Arabidopsis thaliana: one gene and its partner. The protein of the gene in region 1 purifies or fractionates together with the protein of each later gene. This does not show direct contact. Each region holds a gene or a part of one and is shown in the gene's direction. Other genes may lie near its edges.

Evidence for each region. The genes of interacting proteins can lie anywhere in the genome.
Region 2: the proteins of AT5G07030 (region 1) and AT5G45280 fractionate together in Arabidopsis thaliana (co-fractionation; one large-scale study listed by BioGRID). This does not show direct contact.

What each region holds. Positions count from the first base shown.
Region 1 is NC_003076.8:2,181,054-2,189,277, reverse strand, and holds AT5G07030 (Eukaryotic aspartyl protease family protein), read left to right. Parts: upstream 1-3,305; 5' UTR 3,306-3,560; coding exon 3,561-4,085; intron 4,086-4,586; coding exon 4,587-5,067; intron 5,068-5,316; coding exon 5,317-5,678; 3' UTR 5,679-5,950; downstream 5,951-8,224. Other genes in the region: AT5G07020 (proline-rich family protein), read left to right, coding at 6,994-7,161, 7,407-7,544, 8,208-8,224.
Region 2 is NC_003076.8:18,342,761-18,351,764, forward strand, and holds AT5G45280 (Pectinacetylesterase family protein), read left to right. Parts: upstream 1-2,773; 5' UTR 2,774-2,946; intron 2,947-4,100; 5' UTR 4,101-4,101; coding exon 4,102-4,213; intron 4,214-4,586; coding exon 4,587-4,669; intron 4,670-4,777; coding exon 4,778-4,907; intron 4,908-5,005; coding exon 5,006-5,085; intron 5,086-5,224; coding exon 5,225-5,311; intron 5,312-5,404; coding exon 5,405-5,529; intron 5,530-5,620; coding exon 5,621-5,681; intron 5,682-5,768; coding exon 5,769-5,822; intron 5,823-5,913; coding exon 5,914-5,991; intron 5,992-6,082; coding exon 6,083-6,188; intron 6,189-6,271; coding exon 6,272-6,417; intron 6,418-6,614; coding exon 6,615-6,728; 3' UTR 6,729-6,935; downstream 6,936-9,004. Other genes in the region: AT5G45290 (RING/U-box superfamily protein), read right to left, coding at 7,251-7,314, 7,410-7,520, 7,619-7,767, 7,861-8,067, 8,149-9,004. UniProt on the Arabidopsis thaliana protein: Hydrolyzes acetyl esters in homogalacturonan regions of pectin. In type I primary cell wall, galacturonic acid residues of pectin can be acetylated at the O-2 and O-3 positions.

The sequences.
Region 1 (8,224 bases):
CAAATTCCCTTTGGCCACATGTGACTGTGATCAGCCCAATATTTGTATAAACATATTTGTTGAATAATAATCTATATATACATTGGGGATTTTTGAAGATAATGTTGAAGATTTGAGCCATAATTCAACAATTAATTCAAATGGGTGGGTTTTACCCGGTTTAACTCTGTTCGGATCCTAGATAACATGTTTAATTCTGTTCTGATCTTGGATAACATTAATTTTTGGAAAAGTTACCTAAAAACTAATAATTAAAAACGAAAATTAATGATTTAATTACCAAATTTAATATAAACAATATCTCTAAACTAACCATATTTCTTATTTACCTTAACTAATTTTCTAAAATATTTCTACCTAATTTAAACATAAATATATAATTCTTCTTTCAATTTTATTTGATCTTATACTTTATTTATTTTAAATTTATATAAAATATATATAGTTAATAAAATATTATATTTTTTCTGAATATGATGTAATTCAAATTTTTTAAAACGGACATATATTATTCAACCTATGAAGAAATAATATGTGTACAATGTCCTACATCGCTTAGAAAAATTGGACAATGGTTCATATCCATATTATAAAAGGACCAAAATGATTCTGATTACGAATGAGCAGGAAGCTTGATTTATCAGGCGTCCAAAATTAAAATAGTTATCCGATTTTACTCGGATTTTTTATTTTAAAGAATTGAAACTTTAAAATGTTTCAAAAAATTATAAATATTATAACTTTATCAAAAGTTAAATATTATAATTTTAAATTTTTTTATAAAGTTTATCTTTAAAAAATGCTTTAAATATTTATAATTTTAAAACTTATAAAGTTTTAAAAATTATAAATTGAATTTTACAAGAAATTTAACATTATAAATATATAAAAAATATATTAATACGAGACGATATATTACAGAAAAAATCTTAAATATAACAATCAAAATTCAATGATGAATTTTGGGTCGATATTGTATTTTTTTAAGTTTCAAATTTTATAATATTGAAATTTATAAGAAAATGACAAAATTATGTTTAATTTCACGGGACTGGGTTATATGGTATGACGGGTTTGGGTGGATAATAATTACGATTTTAGAATGTCCCACATCGCTTAAAAAAATTGGACAATGGTCAAGAGCCATACTATAAAAAGGACCAAAATGATTTCGATTACGAATGAGCATGAAACTTGATTTATGAGGTGTCCAAAATTAAAATGGTTTGTTTACTAGGGTTATTTATTTTAAAAAATTGAAACTTAAAAAAGTTTAAAAAATTATAAATTAAATTTTACAAGAAATTTAAACAATATAAAAGATATTAATACGGGACGATATACTGCGAGAGAAATCTTAGATATAACACTCAAAATTCAATGATGAAGTTTGGGTCAATATTAATCTTTTTTGAAGTTTCTAGTTTTATAAATATTTGAAATTTATAATAAAATGACAAATTTGTGTTTAATTTCACGGGACGGGGTTATATGGTGTGACAGGTTTGAGTGGATAATAACATGGGATAGTATGCTATGGAAAAAAACATATAATAACAATCATAATATAATTATATAATCTTAAACACTAAACAAAATTAACAATATTAAAAAAAAAAAACTTAAAACTTTAATTTTTTTAAAACACATTTTGATTCTTTTATAAGAAATTTAAACATTATAAATATTTAAACATTATACTACGGGTGAAATTTTATAATTGACTGTTTGGGTTGATAAGAATTTGCGATAGAATTGGGAGTGAAATCCTAGAATGACAATTAAAATATAATTATACAATTAAATACTACCACGGGTGAAATCCTAGAATTGACGGGCTTGATTCGATATTAATATGGGATGGTGTACTACGGAATATTTTAGAATTGACTGGTTTGGGTTGATAATAATTTGCGATAGAATTATGAGTGAAATCATAGAATGACAATTAAAATAGAATTATACAATTAAATACTACCACGGGTGAAATCCTAGAATTGACGGGCTTGATTCGATATTAATATGGGATGGTGTACTACGAAATATTTTAGAATTGACTGGTTTGGGTTGATAATAATTTGCGATAGAATTAGAAGTGAAATCATAGAATGACAATTAAAATATAATTATACAATTAAATACTACCACGGGTGAAATCATAGAATTGACGGGTTTGATTCGATATTAATATGGAATGGTGTACTACGGGTGAAATCCGAGAAACAACAATCAAAATACAATTATACAATATTAAACATTTAACAAAATAAACAAATACAACTTAAAACTTTAAAATTTGAGTTATAAAATTTCGTCTAGCGGTGAATTGTACATTTAAATCAAACAATAGCATAAATTTATTAAATCATTCTAAAAAATATTCAATTATTTTTTATTTAATAAAAATATAGGCTCGCGGTATACCACGGGTTAATATATAGTTAAATGTACACTTTTAAAAGAAAAATTAATCACAAAATACATTACCCATGTTCTATTTTGTTGTTGTGATTAGAAAAAAAGTTTATTTATATCATGTGGGAGACAAGTATATTTTCCTTATTGTATACGCTGCCCATCATACTAATACCCCACAAAAGTAGTGGAAATCTGAAGAAAGTAACTTTGCACTATCGGAAGAGTAAAGAAACAGATGAATAATTTACATTACTTGCCGACACATCTTTTACAAAGATAAATATAAGAGTAATAATGGCATGCTTACAAAATACTAGTAATAACTAAACCAGCACCCATGTTTTTACCGGTTCGCATTATTGGAGATGCTGCAAGAAACAATAGGAACACATCTTTCTATTTTAGATATGATGGTTAAGAGGTGGTAGTGATTAAGAAATCATCTCGGAAACATTAAAGACAGTCACTCTTTGTGAAGGGATTGTTGGATATTTGAAAGAATAACCCACTTTTTATTATTTTAAATGGAGATAATATATTATCTTCGAAAATATGTTTGAGAGGTAAATGAAAGAATTAACATAAGAATGGAAAAGATTTCGAATCAATATATATCTTAGATTTTCCCCTCTAAAGAGACATTAGTTATACACACTTTACACACACAAATCATTCTAAAATCACATAAGTCAAAGTTTAGAAAGGTATATCATAAAAAAAACTTTAGAGCTCTGCAACTTGTTTGATCTCATATACAGTTTAAGTTTGTTGAAGGTCGAACTCTCGAAGGGCGGGATATACGATTTAAACATGTGGTTGTTGTATACTGGAAAGCGTTTTTTTAACGGATCATACAGTTAATTGTTTAGCATAATGTTTTAGATACATGCTTTAACAATTTATTGTTCTTATAGACAGTCCAAGGCAAACCTTTGTAATGAAAAAAATTAACATTACAAAAGAAATGTTAAAGTTAGAAACGAGAGCAGTTTAAATTTAAGCTAATCTTTATTTTACCGTGGATTCAAACTTAAAACCTAATAAGCGGAAATAATTATTGATTTGTATCATATAGTTAATTATACTTTTGATTTTATGTGCTTGGTCATTATGTAGCTCAGACCACTATATATACCCTTCTCATGCCAACACCATTTAATAACCCATCCAACCCAAAAGCATACAATACAATGTCTACTCTTGTTTTATTCCTCCAACTTTTTTCCATCCTACCATTAGCACTTGGGTTGAACCACCCAAATTGTGACCTGACCAAGACTCAAGACCAAGGCTCTACCCTAAGAATCTTCCACATAGACAGCCCTTGCTCCCCCTTCAAATCATCATCCCCACTCTCATGGGAAGCGCGTGTGCTCCAGACGCTGGCTCAAGACCAGGCCCGTCTCCAGTACCTGAGCAGCCTCGTCGCCGGGAGATCTGTAGTCCCCATTGCCTCAGGGCGTCAAATGTTGCAAAGCACTACATACATTGTCAAGGCTTTGATCGGTACTCCGGCTCAGCCGCTGCTCCTAGCCATGGACACGAGCAGTGACGTGGCTTGGATTCCTTGCTCCGGCTGCGTTGGCTGTCCTTCTAACACGGCCTTTTCCCCTGCTAAGTCTACATCCTTCAAGAACGTTAGCTGCAGCGCTCCTCAGTGTAAGCAGGTATATAATTTTGTACTTACACACCTACAGTACTACATATCTAATAAATATGTTTTTGGAATGTTTTTTGATTAATTTATTTTATCCTCACACTTACACTTTCATAGCTTCATAAATGAACCGGTAGTATTAAAAAAGAAAAAATAGTTTATGAATGTCTCACCATACTATATTGTAGTCAAATTTTAATATTAGTAACCTGCATTTGTTTTCATCATAAAGATGTGAGCATGAGAATGTTAATTGCTGCCCCAAAATGAAAATATATTTGACAAAATATCAGATCTAGAAATTTTTTAGTTGATATACAAAAAGGACAGTTTCTATTTTATTACGTGAAAAATGTATTTTCACAGAGAGTGGGTTCCACGTGGTTATAATTGATAATTCCACCCACATTCAAAGAAAAAACGGTCACGGGATTACAGAACCACTAAACACTTGACCGACACAGAGACACTGTACTGCATTAACAACAATTCACGTGAACACTTGCTTCAGGTACCAAACCCCACGTGTGGAGCACGCGCGTGCTCTTTCAACCTCACCTATGGAAGCTCCTCCATTGCGGCTAACCTCTCTCAAGACACGATACGTCTTGCCGCCGATCCGATCAAAGCCTTTACATTCGGATGCGTCAACAAAGTCGCCGGTGGAGGAACCATCCCACCACCTCAAGGCTTGTTGGGCTTGGGACGAGGCCCACTTTCACTCATGTCACAGGCTCAGTCTATTTACAAGTCCACTTTCTCTTACTGTTTGCCAAGTTTCAGGTCTCTGACCTTCTCTGGTTCTCTCAGACTCGGCCCTACCTCCCAGCCCCAGCGCGTGAAGTACACTCAACTTCTCAGAAACCCTAGAAGGTCTTCTCTGTACTACGTCAACCTCGTTGCGATCCGCGTTGGTCGGAAAGTCGTCGATTTACCGCCGGCAGCTATTGCTTTTAATCCTTCAACCGGCGCTGGAACCATCTTCGACTCCGGTAATTACTCTTGTCCGGTTTGGTTCCGGTTAGGTTTTAGTTTTCTGTTTCAATTGGTATTAATTTCGTATTGGTTTAGACTAAAAACATAAATCTTTAGTTAATTAGTGTATTTCGTATTGTTTTACACTAAAATATATACGTAACAAAATAGAATAATTTAGTGTATTTTATTCGATTCGGTTATTTTCAGTTATAATATAATTTTAGATTGGTTTGGTTATATTAACTAAACCATTTGCTGTGTAGGAACTGTGTACACGCGGCTGGCTAAACCGGTTTACGAGGCAGTGAGGAACGAGTTCAGGAAGCGCGTGAAGCCAACCACAGCCGTGGTGACGTCACTCGGGGGTTTCGACACGTGCTACTCAGGGCAAGTCAAGGTGCCGACGATAACATTCATGTTCAAGGGAGTGAACATGACGATGCCGGCTGATAACCTGATGTTACACAGTACCGCCGGAAGCACGTCGTGCCTCGCCATGGCTGCAGCGCCGGAAAACGTAAACTCTGTCGTCAATGTGATCGCAAGCATGCAGCAGCAGAACCACCGTGTCCTCATCGACGTCCCCAATGGACGGCTCGGTTTGGCACGTGAACGATGCTCTTAGAAAGATGAATGAGACAATAAGAGCCTACTCATATTTATGCAGAGACTTGTTTGTTTGTGTTATTTGTGTGTTTCATTTTTGTCTTGTCTTGCGTCGTTTGCTTCACCAGTCTTAGAGGGCGGAGGTGTGTAGCATTTGTGCTATCTAGTAATTTATGTTTTTAATTGTTCTTCAATTATCTAGAGTGTTGGATCTAAGCTAATCAAATAATGAAACTATATTATATTTCCTTACGGTATACAAATATACAATTGAACATATTAGGTAATTAGAAATACATAAAATTGAATATAATATTAGCACAATGATCTAATCAAATTTTAGTCGTTGTCTTAAATTGTTTATCGACAATCGATGTTCATCAATTGGCCCATCAGAAATAGCGCGACTAGTGGATATTTCAGTTCATAGTTTTCAAAAAGAATCCACTTTAAAGCTTGTATAGGGTTTGTCTGGCATGGTAATATGTATAAGACAATAATTTTCATAATTTTATCAACTAGTAGAGAAAGAAAATTGATTAAAAAAAAGTATGATTAAAAGAAAAAATATAGTTTTGAGTTTCAAACGAGTAATGTAGAAAGTGAAAACCAAAAGAGAATGCTACGCCAATTGCTTAAAATCAAATCAAATTTCATAAAATAAAATTGATAATGCGAAAGAGAACAGAGAGACAACAATCACATCGATCATGTAACCACCTAAACAAGTTCCACTCTGGTTCACTCCATTATGATGGTACTTGTATACAATTCTTTTATTCCATACCGGGAAAGTGTGATTTGAACCCCACACATGCTTAAGGTACAATACAATGGATAGTGGCTAAGCACTAGCACACAAGGTATTTTGGGGTCGTTATGATTAAACTATGGCAAAACTGATATAATTCGTTAATGTCTTTTTACGGGAAAATGAATTGAATAATGGAATATAAAGTGGACGAAGCGGGAAAAAAAAAAGCGATATGCGGAATATCTCTAGAAACAGAATAAAGCAGAAAAAAATCAAGGTGCACTAATCCATACAAAATTTTCCAATAATTGGATTGAATAACCGAATTTTAAATTCGTCATTGAGAAAACAGATCAGAAAGAAAACCGAATTTTATTCCGGTTTGATTTGAAATTGTTTCAATTTGGTTTGGTATAATTTGGAGTTAGGAATTTGTGGGTTTGGCAGTTACACGCGTAGGCTAGTGGAAAAGCCCACCACACATAACACACACACATCTTCTTCCTCTCTTTATCTTCTTCTTCTCTGTTTCTCTAAGAAGATAGAACAATCCCAAGATTCTCCTCTTATTTGATCAACCATGTCGAATGTCTTGCTATCCCCAAACGGCTACGTATTTGCATCGCCTAAACCTCTTGGCAGATTCATCAATTCAAAGTCCGGCGGACGGAAACTTTTCTTCTCCGTCGTTAGAGCTTCTTCCGATGATGCTGATTGTAATGCCGAAGAATGTGCTCCCGAGAAGGAGGTACTCAATCCCACCTCTGTATTTGTTTCATTCTCCGCTCAATTTTGTTTCTTTAACAAAACCCATGATGATAATTTTTTTGCAATTGGGTTGTTCAACATTGCTGGGAAATATGAGTTGGTTACTTAGAAGATTTAGTTTCGGAATCTCCAAAATTAGCTAATTAGTGAAACTGGATTATAAAGTGGGGATTTTTACAATTGAAATGATGTCATTGATGAGGTTTGGTGGGTGAAACGCAACAGGTAGGAACAGTGAGTATGGAATGGTTAGCTGGAGAGAAGACGAAAGTGGTGGGAACATTTCCTCCTCGGAAGCCGCGTGGTTGGACTGGCTATGTTGAGAAAGATACTGCTGGTCAGACTAATGTTTACTCCATTGAGGTTCGTTCCTCTTTATTTCTCCATCTATCTATCCACTCCACTCATCTCTACTTTTATTAGTTTAGGTTATACCTAAGTAAGTTTTAGTATCTTTAGGGAAGCACAGGCACTCCTTTTAGGCTCATAGTGTTTGGAGGGATACTGGTTTTTAGTTGAGAGAAAAAGCTTCAAACTTTGCCGAGGGAACAGGTTCTTATGATTCTGTGATAGGCATTAGAATGTAGTGGATGCATAACAACAAGATGAGATTAGGGGTATTTGACCAGTGGCTTGTTTGTGAGCCTTTTGGCTTTCAGGGAGTTAGGAGATCTCTTTAACCAATTTTCAATATACATTTGGCTCTTTCTTTGAGTTTGATCGTTGCTTCAAGGATAACAAAGAAAACTAGGCTTTCGATCTGATCAGTTTTACTGTTATATTTTGTCTCGTTTGAAATTAACTTTTTTTTGGCTTTTCTTGTGTGTGTGTGTGTTTGTTCCATAATTCTGTCATCGATCTCGACCTCCATCTCCAAGAAATATGCATTAGCTTGCAACAACATGTCATGTAAACCCCGCATCTTCTTGAGATGGGGTTCTTGATCTAATTCGATTGGCTTTTTCTTATCGACTCAATTCCATTGGCTTTTTTTCTAAAGAATAGCGTTTCTTGTAACTTTTTCAGCCTGCAGTATATGTTGC
Region 2 (9,004 bases), about 16 Mb from region 1:
ATCCAAACTAAAGATCATTTTAAAACATGAATTTATTTGGATAATTTTTATTTTTTTTCAGTATAAGAATAATACGGGAACGGTACAAACATTCTAAATTTAAGACTACAATTTATATACTTGCTTAGTGGTTTTCATGAAACTAATAGTTTTCATGAAACCATGTTGATTAGAATAATTAAAAGTTATGAGCATCTGCTCTCCTTCAACCTTCTTTTTGATCAATAGAATACAATATATGAATTCAAAATTAAATGGTAACCTAGGAAGTACGGAAGCTTTGTTGAAGGTCCGCTTCCCACTTCAGAATCTTAGTTGAATAAGAAGTTTTTGAAATCTCACTAGTCACTTCACTTCTAAAAATTCTACTTTGAAAGCTCGTTTGAAGATTACAATTCTATTTTGAAGTTTGCATTTCTATTTAAAAAATTTGATGTCATATATAAATAGGAAACATGAAAATATCCCAAATATTTTTGATAGTTGTTTTTACAAATAAAAAACCAAAACTAATTTTGCAATTTAATTGCATACTAATTTTGTACTTTAGTTTTATAAGATCATCCTTAAAAATATGACCACCACATGAATCATTATTTGATAAATCTTGGAATGATTAATTAATTGAATTAAATTAACTTTCAAAACCTTGAATTTAATGATGTTTTTAAAACCGAATTTGAAACCATTTCTATTTGATGAATTAAGAAGATGAGAATGAAGATCGTGATCTAAATTTTGGCTTTGAACTATTTGATTTTTATTTATTGTGTAAAACTAAACTATCTTGTTTTTATTTGTAGTTGAGGTATTTAAAATTCATGCATTAGACTTCTGTGGTTCATTATATTTTTTAATATGATAATTATTTGATTTAATTTTTTGTATACGCTTTTAACACCTATTCACTTTTTAAAAATTTTATAAAACTTGTTTTTATATTTTTAAATGCTTCGCTTCCGCATACTCATTTCTGATTTCAATAATACAAATATATATAAGTAGGTAATTAAATGATGGTGGTCTAGTGATTGAATGATTTACTCTAAATATTCTCTTTGGCAGATTAAAAATTTTCATGGTAGTTTTAATTATTTATGACCATTCAAAAAAGTTTTTAGTAACAAAATAAAATCTAATAAATGTCTACACATTTCGGAAGGTTAGTATGAAACTCGGATTTTGAAATTCTTTAGATTTAAATATTATAGACTACATGTTATGGTCTATCACATATTCAAAATTTTCAGATTATTTAAATACAAACATCATGTGTTCAAATAAATGTAACAAAGTCGTGACTCAAAAGTCAAAGTCAAAACCTATATGCTCTCTCTGTATTATTTAGTACTTGTATTATTAAACGCGTTTTGGTTTTGGAAATATATAACATAATTCTCATTTTTTCTGTTTAGAGAAAAAACAAAGAATTTTAAAAATTGGTAAATTGTAATCGACAGATCTTCCAGGCCACTTTCCTTATCCCTTTCTCCTCCTAGTCCCACGGACCCTACCTTCCTCTTACATCATTTGGTAATGATCTTTCCCAAATTCATTTATTTTTATAGTTAGACATACTACATCAAGATTCATACTAATTACAGACTTATCAACTATACATTAATCAATATGAGATAATTTTTCTCTTTTCTTGAAGTAGTCCGCTAAAATTATAGTAATAAATACTAATATACCTATAGACATAGACAGATAATTGTAATATCCAAACAATTTTAAATAAGTTTGATGTTCTTTTGATCATAAATCTACCTTCATAATGAAACATCCTCCACCAGCATATCATAAATGGTTTTTTGACGTATATTGAAAAATTCACCATGTTGGTACGTAAATTTCCATTTTATTTTAATTGGTTATGAGATACACACAACCTTCTCAATGACAAGAATATATGGTTCTTCTATATATAAAGAATCTTTTTAATTGAGGATAAAGAACGCCGATTCAAGGATTATAGTAAGCTACTTAATAATTTGACTTCTGCACCGAAACAATATCAATCATTTTTTACAAAAATATAATGAAGAGATATAAATCTGTTTAACTTCTACCCTAATATTCATTTGTGGAGAAAGAAGGTAAAAAATTAAAGTAATGATTCATTTATTCAAGTTATTGAATACATTATGAAGACGAGGAAGACAAAAAGTCAGAATAATGTAAGTAAATTAGCATTAGGTCTTAAACTCTCGGCATTCCGCATTAACTTGATTCGGTGCATTTGGAGGAGGACCGACACAATACCACACGTGGCAAATTAATTTCCTTTTGCAGAAATAATTCAATGTCATGTAATTTCAAATTTTAAAAGTTTTGAAGACAAAAATCATCTCATGAGCCGAATTGATATGGACACTAGTACAGCAGCTTCCTTAGATTCCATCCAGACATAACTTTTGATTTCGATATAGGTCATCGCTATTGTACCAACTACTACGTATAAAAGAAATACTGCATCCTCATAATAAATCATAAAACTTTATAATAAACTAAACAAAAATAGAATTCATTTTTCTGTTTATTTATTGTAATATTCTTATGTGAAACTATTAATAAATTGAACAAAATACTTAAAGGAATTAGATTATATACGATATGTGAATACTGGTCATATTACTACGAAGGTAGTTTTCTTGAGAGTCTTTAACGTTGAATTCTCGTGACCTGGCAAATACATGAAAGTAACAATAAAACTTTTATATTTATTTTTATTAAATGAAGCAAAAAAGAAAAAGAAAAAAAAAAGGTTTTCTTTCGACGTGTGGTATTCTGTATCCATCTATATAACAGAGAGGACATCAATGGCTTTCTTTGAACTTGTAAACCTTACTCTCGAAGAGTCCTCTGTTACTCATTTTTACATTGTAAAAAAAAACTTCTTTTCTTCTCTACGTGAATAAGAATCTGAAGAGTCATTTTCTCAAGGTAAATCTTCTTCGTCTCTTTTCCTAAAAATGAAGTCTCTATTAGAATTTGTTTAAATGAAGTTTCTGTTATTATTTCTTTGATAGTTTCCAGTTCTTTCATATTGATCTACGAGTTAAAACTCAGATTTTCTTACTCAACCATAGCTTATTAGATATGTTTTGAAAACTAGATATGTTAATTGTGAGTCATTTCTTGGATTTAACCAAGTAACTATTAGTAGAGAAACAATTACGGTCATATAATCGTGATGGAAAAGATCTTGCAATGTTTTGATTTCAATCCTATTTTTGGCATTTTTTTTCTTCCAAGAAGTGGTTTAATTTTATTTTCCCCCAATTAGTTGGCGGTCCAATAATCCACTTACAACAAATTGCAATGTTTGGTTTCAACAAAATTGTTTTTGAATTTAAAATGATATAAGTCGTAATCTCATCATATGCATGGTTCTCATTTTGGCCCTCCCGACGCCATGAATTGCGGTCTGTTTAAGTTTGGTCTAGAAGGGTATTTTCGGATACACTCACATTTTAATTCATTCATTGTTCATAGAGCTACCATTGTACCATCTAAATAGCATTTAATACAAATATATAGGGACGAAAGATTACTAATTGAATATTGCAACTTATCCTTCTAATAGTTGTTCGTGTCTTCACTGATTATAACTATGAGTAAGTCGTTGTTCCTAATATGATTAATATTGAAGGGAATTTATTTATATATTTCGTATTTATAGTAATAATATTATAAATTATTTTTCGGTGGATTACATCAATCGAGGAAAATACTAATGCACACACATGGACTGGTCATTTTGTTTCCCCAACTTTTTGAATGGACCAATGGTGATATTTTCAATATAGAATATATTTTCTCAATTCATTAAGTTCTTACTTTGATACAGAAACAACAAAAGATAAGCTTTATATTAAAACCATGTGCAAGTTACACATAACACATGTACGATTACTTGAGATCCGAACACATCGCTTGATCTCAAAGCTTTTTGTTAGAGTCAATCCTCTACATTATTTGGGAGATAATTAACATTCTATTCGATTTTGTCATTATAGCCATAATAAATTATGTTTGGTTCGGACAAGTTCATTTTTACTAATTTGTGAGTTATAACTTTTTTTCTTTTGTTATAGAATGACGTGGCTAAAACAAATGTGGTCAAGCATTTTAGTGCTAGCCGTGGTGGTGATCGGAGCCAGAGCTGTGCCCATCACGTATCTTGAATCTGCAGTGGCTAAAGGAGCTGGTAGACAATAATTTTATTTTCAATTGCTTATTAGGAATCAGGTTCGAGAATGGATAGTATGAATAGATAGAAAAATCGAATTAATGATGAGGCTTTATAGTAAGAAAAATAGAGCCAACATTGGAAATGGTCTTGAGTCAAGTTTCTAAAAATCCAAAAAAATAAATTGTGTCTTCCAAATTTCAAAATGGTATTCAATATAAATGTTCATTATCTTGGATACTTCAGATTAATAAAACCTTTATCGGTGTTTACTCATGAGACTAACTTGGATTTTAAATTTGGTAGATAAAACCATTGTTATAACTAATTATCTACTATGTTTGACAAACAAAAAAAACTAATTACTGTATATATATTATATTTTCTGTAGTGTGTTTGGATGGTAGCGCGCCAGCATACCATTTCGATAAGGGATCGGGCTCAGGAGTGAACAATTGGATCGTTCATATGGAAGTTAGTATTATTTTTATTTTCTCATTTTATTAGATGTTATCATAAATAACTACGTACAAAATATAATGATATTAATTAAATATGTATATACTTATGTGAATACATTAGGGAGGAGGATGGTGCACTGATATAGCTACATGCGTTCAACGTAAAAGTACAATGAAGGGTTCTTCTAAGCTTATGAACAAAGACTTTGGTTTCTCCGGTATCTTGGGTGGCAAGCAAAGCACCAATCCAGGTTTTCAATTCTTTTTTATTTCTTTTCATTTTGTTCAGCGAATTTTTTATTTGTTTTCTTATGCAATGAGACTGAATCGGATTTTGGGTGTTTTGCAGACTTTTACAATTGGAATAGAATCAAAGTTCGGTATTGCGATGGTTCATCTTTCACCGGTGATATAGAAGCTGTTGATCCGGTAATTCACTTGACCATTACCGTTAAACTTAACTACTTGAAATGGGGACATGGATGATTTTTAATCATTTATATTGAATATCACATAACGATTTAGTTGAAGTTCCAAATTTTTAAGAGTGTAATTTGAATATTTTCAGACGCACAAGCTGTTCTTTCGCGGTGCTAGGGTTTGGCGTGCGGTGATCGATGATCTTATGGCTAAGGGAATGAGCAACGCTCAAAACGTATGAAAAATGATAATTTCAAATATGTTTCTCTAATTGTTAGTGAATTTTTGAAGTGTTGGAATTTAAAATGTTTGGTTACATGAATTTCAGGCTATACTCTCCGGTTGTTCAGCTGGAGCATTGGCTGCGATTCTACATTGCGACCAGTTCAAGTCCACTCTCCCTAAAACGGCTAAGGTCAAATGTGTTTCTGACGCTGGTTACTTCATCCACGGGTAACATTCATAATTTCTAGAGAGTCACACATACAATTGCTAGCATCCTAGATAACAAATAACAACCTTTGTTATTTTGTTGTTTGAACAGTAAGGATATCACTGGAGGATCTTACATCCAATCCTACTACGCCAAAGTCGTAGCGACCCACGTAGGATACATCTCTCTTTTCCTTGGCCATATTTCTCTAATATATCAGGTGTATCCCATCACGACTAATCTCGATCACTATTTACAGGGATCTGCAAAGAGTCTACCTGCTTCTTGCACCTCAAGTATGAAGCCTGATTTGGTAAATTTATCGAAAACATACTTGATATACAAGGCATAAATTTTTCCGAGTTCGTTATATTGTATAAACGCTTATGTTTATATTTTCACAGTGTTTCTTCCCTCAATACGTTGCTAAGACCTTACAAACACCGCTTTTCGTCATCAATGCCGCCTTCGATTCTTGGCAGGTTCGATTTTGTTTTTATGATTATTGTTTTCGGTAGAAATAATAACACTAGATATGATTTGGATTTAAAAATTTTATTCCTTTTTTTGCAGATCAAGAATGTATTGGCACCAACCTCTGTTGATAAAAGCAAAGCATGGAAGACTTGTAAGCTTGATCTTAAGAAGTGTACGGCCGCTCAGCTTCAAACCGTTCAAGGTATGTTTTACCTACCGGAACTAATGAACAAATTTGGTTAATATCTTCTAGACTAAACTGATTGGTTTATTATAATATTTCAGGATATAGAGACCAAGTGTTGGCTGCGTTGGCGCCTGTTCGATCCGCGACGACGAACGGATTGTTCTTGGACTCGTGCCATGCTCATTGCCAAGGTGGAAGCGCTGCCACTTGGTCCGGCGACAAAGGTCCCACAGTCGCGAATACGGTAATCACTTGATTTTCTTGTACAAAGTAAAAATAATATTGGAAAATACCACAAACTTTTGATCTAAGAAGGGTTTATAAAAATTTACAAATGGTTTCTATGACATTTAAGACTTTTTAGAATCTTTCATAAACCTGAAAATAAAACATAAATATGTAGTATATTTTTCATTATTGTTTTGGATTTGTTATTTTCAGAAAATGGCTAAGGCGGTTGGAGATTGGTTCTTTGAGAGGAGTACGTTTCAGAACGTAGATTGTTCATCGCTTAATTGCAACCCTACTTGCCCTGCAGTATCTACTGAAGACTAAAATTTATTCATTGATGTCTTAAAATTTATTCATCTTTGGAATATTGTTCTTGAAATTTAAAAGTAAAATAATATAATTGATACAATTTCATTCGAATAAATAAAATCCTTTGCCCTTCTACAATCGTTTAAGCTGTTATATATAATCAATCTCTCTTATTATTGGGTTCGCAATTTCTTAAATTCTTTTTAATAAAGAATCAATCTTATAAATTAAGGTTTTTTTAATATGTTTTTGAACATAAGCTACTAAGTTTGACTACATTTACAGAAGTTGCAATACAGAAACAAAGATGCTCATGAAACACACAACATCAATGGATTAACTTTCTTACAGATATGCTGGATCAAATTGGTATACAAGTTTACATCTTTTAAACTGTCACTTTTGTTTTCCATTGTAAGCTACGAAACAAAAAGCAAACACACAACAATATTGATTCAGTTGCAGGCAAAAACCGATGAATGTTCTTGGTCTCTTGTAGAATCAAAATCTTTCAGCATTATGTCTATAAGACTGTAATCAATGTTGTTCCGATGATGGATCATGTCTACAAATATCTCCTCGACACAGCGGACATACTCTGCTTCGCCATAAAAACATCATCAGATAATCTAGTACACACCAAAAAGGCGGAAAATTAGTTGTCACCAAACTTCACATTATATATCACATTCATACCTGTGAATCTCCTTGAGCCATTTATCTACACAGGTTTTGTGGAATTCATGATGACAAGGAAGTGTCCTTATAGAGTCTGCTTCTTCATATTCCACAAGGCATATGTAACATCTGAGGTTCCAGGAAAAAACATGTTTAACCATTAGGTCTCGAGACTTTTGAGCATCACAATTGGCAAAAGAAAGATCTGAGAATTTAGTATGCATTACTGTGATGGATCCTCGCTTTGTGACTTAGTATAAAGTTTTATCGGTAATAAATCCACAACGTCGTTAGGTGCAGGAACAGATCCTATAGATGATACTGATGGTTGTTGAGAGGATAAGACAACAGATTGCTGATGAATTTCATCAAGAACCTAAAATGAATGCACTGTAGATCCTTAGCATACATGAGAAAGAAAGATAGTGGCAAAAAGCTGTTAGTAGGGAGACCGAAAACATGTATTTACCTCGAAGAGAGCTTCAGCTAGCAATACTATCCTTGAGATGCTAGCTCTTGCATTTGTTTCATCGGTTGTTGCTGTTGTCGAACCACGGTTAGTAACTGCACGGCATGTGCAGCGACCTGCTTGATCTTGACCTGATAAGACACAAGATCTATCATGATGGACTGCGACATTCTCAAACCGGCTTCCTAATCTTTGAAGAGCGCGAACCTGTGGAATTAGTTATATCAGTTAGTTAGATCTTGAGTTGATCAGACACATCAAGGAAGAGAGAATCAATGAGTTTCAAACCTGAGATCTTATTCTCCTCCTTCTTTCAAGGAAATCTGATCTGTGTTCTAATAAACCTTGATACCTCCCTTCTCTCACAAGAGCAGCTGGTGTCTCATGATCCTGAATGCCGAATAAGGTCCTTCGAATGCTAGAAGCGGAACGATTTAGTATAGACGTTGAAGTCACAGGAGCATCCTCTGCTGCTGCGGTTTCAGCAGAGAAGAGATCAGTATCTTCTTCTCCCTGATGTGGCGAGGGACGGAATGCGAAATCAGAGAGTGAAGATCGGCGAAGAACTCTATCACGGAGTCTTCCAACACTCAGAGTTCTACTAAATCTAACATTGCGCTCAATAGAAGGTTCTCGTACAACATGTCTTCTATCAAGAAGTCCAGCATAAGTACTATCCATACCATTAACTACTCTCGGAGAACGTAAGCTACCATCTTCCCCAAATCTCATGGCATCAATATCTCTAACTACATTGTCAATCACAGGAATTCTCGGAGACTCAACTCTATCATTGAGCCTAATAGCAGATTCTGAAGGTGAAGTAACACCATCTTCTCTATGAGAAGAAGAGACTGGATAAGTCGTGTTGAAGGATCTTGAACTTGAAGCTCTGCTAAGTCTAGAGCTTATGTTACCAGGAATGAATTTGAAATGCGAAAAAACTCGACCTGGAGTAGAAGATTCTTGAATCGAACCGCTAACATTTCTCATCTGTACATTGCTTACACTAGCTTCCTCTTCTTCTTCTTCAACACCACACTCATCATCAAGCTCAAGCTCATCACAATGTCTTTCGTTTTCAGATTTCTTATCATCTTTCAATTCTTTATCATAGCAATCTGATGCATCTCTTCTCGATTCC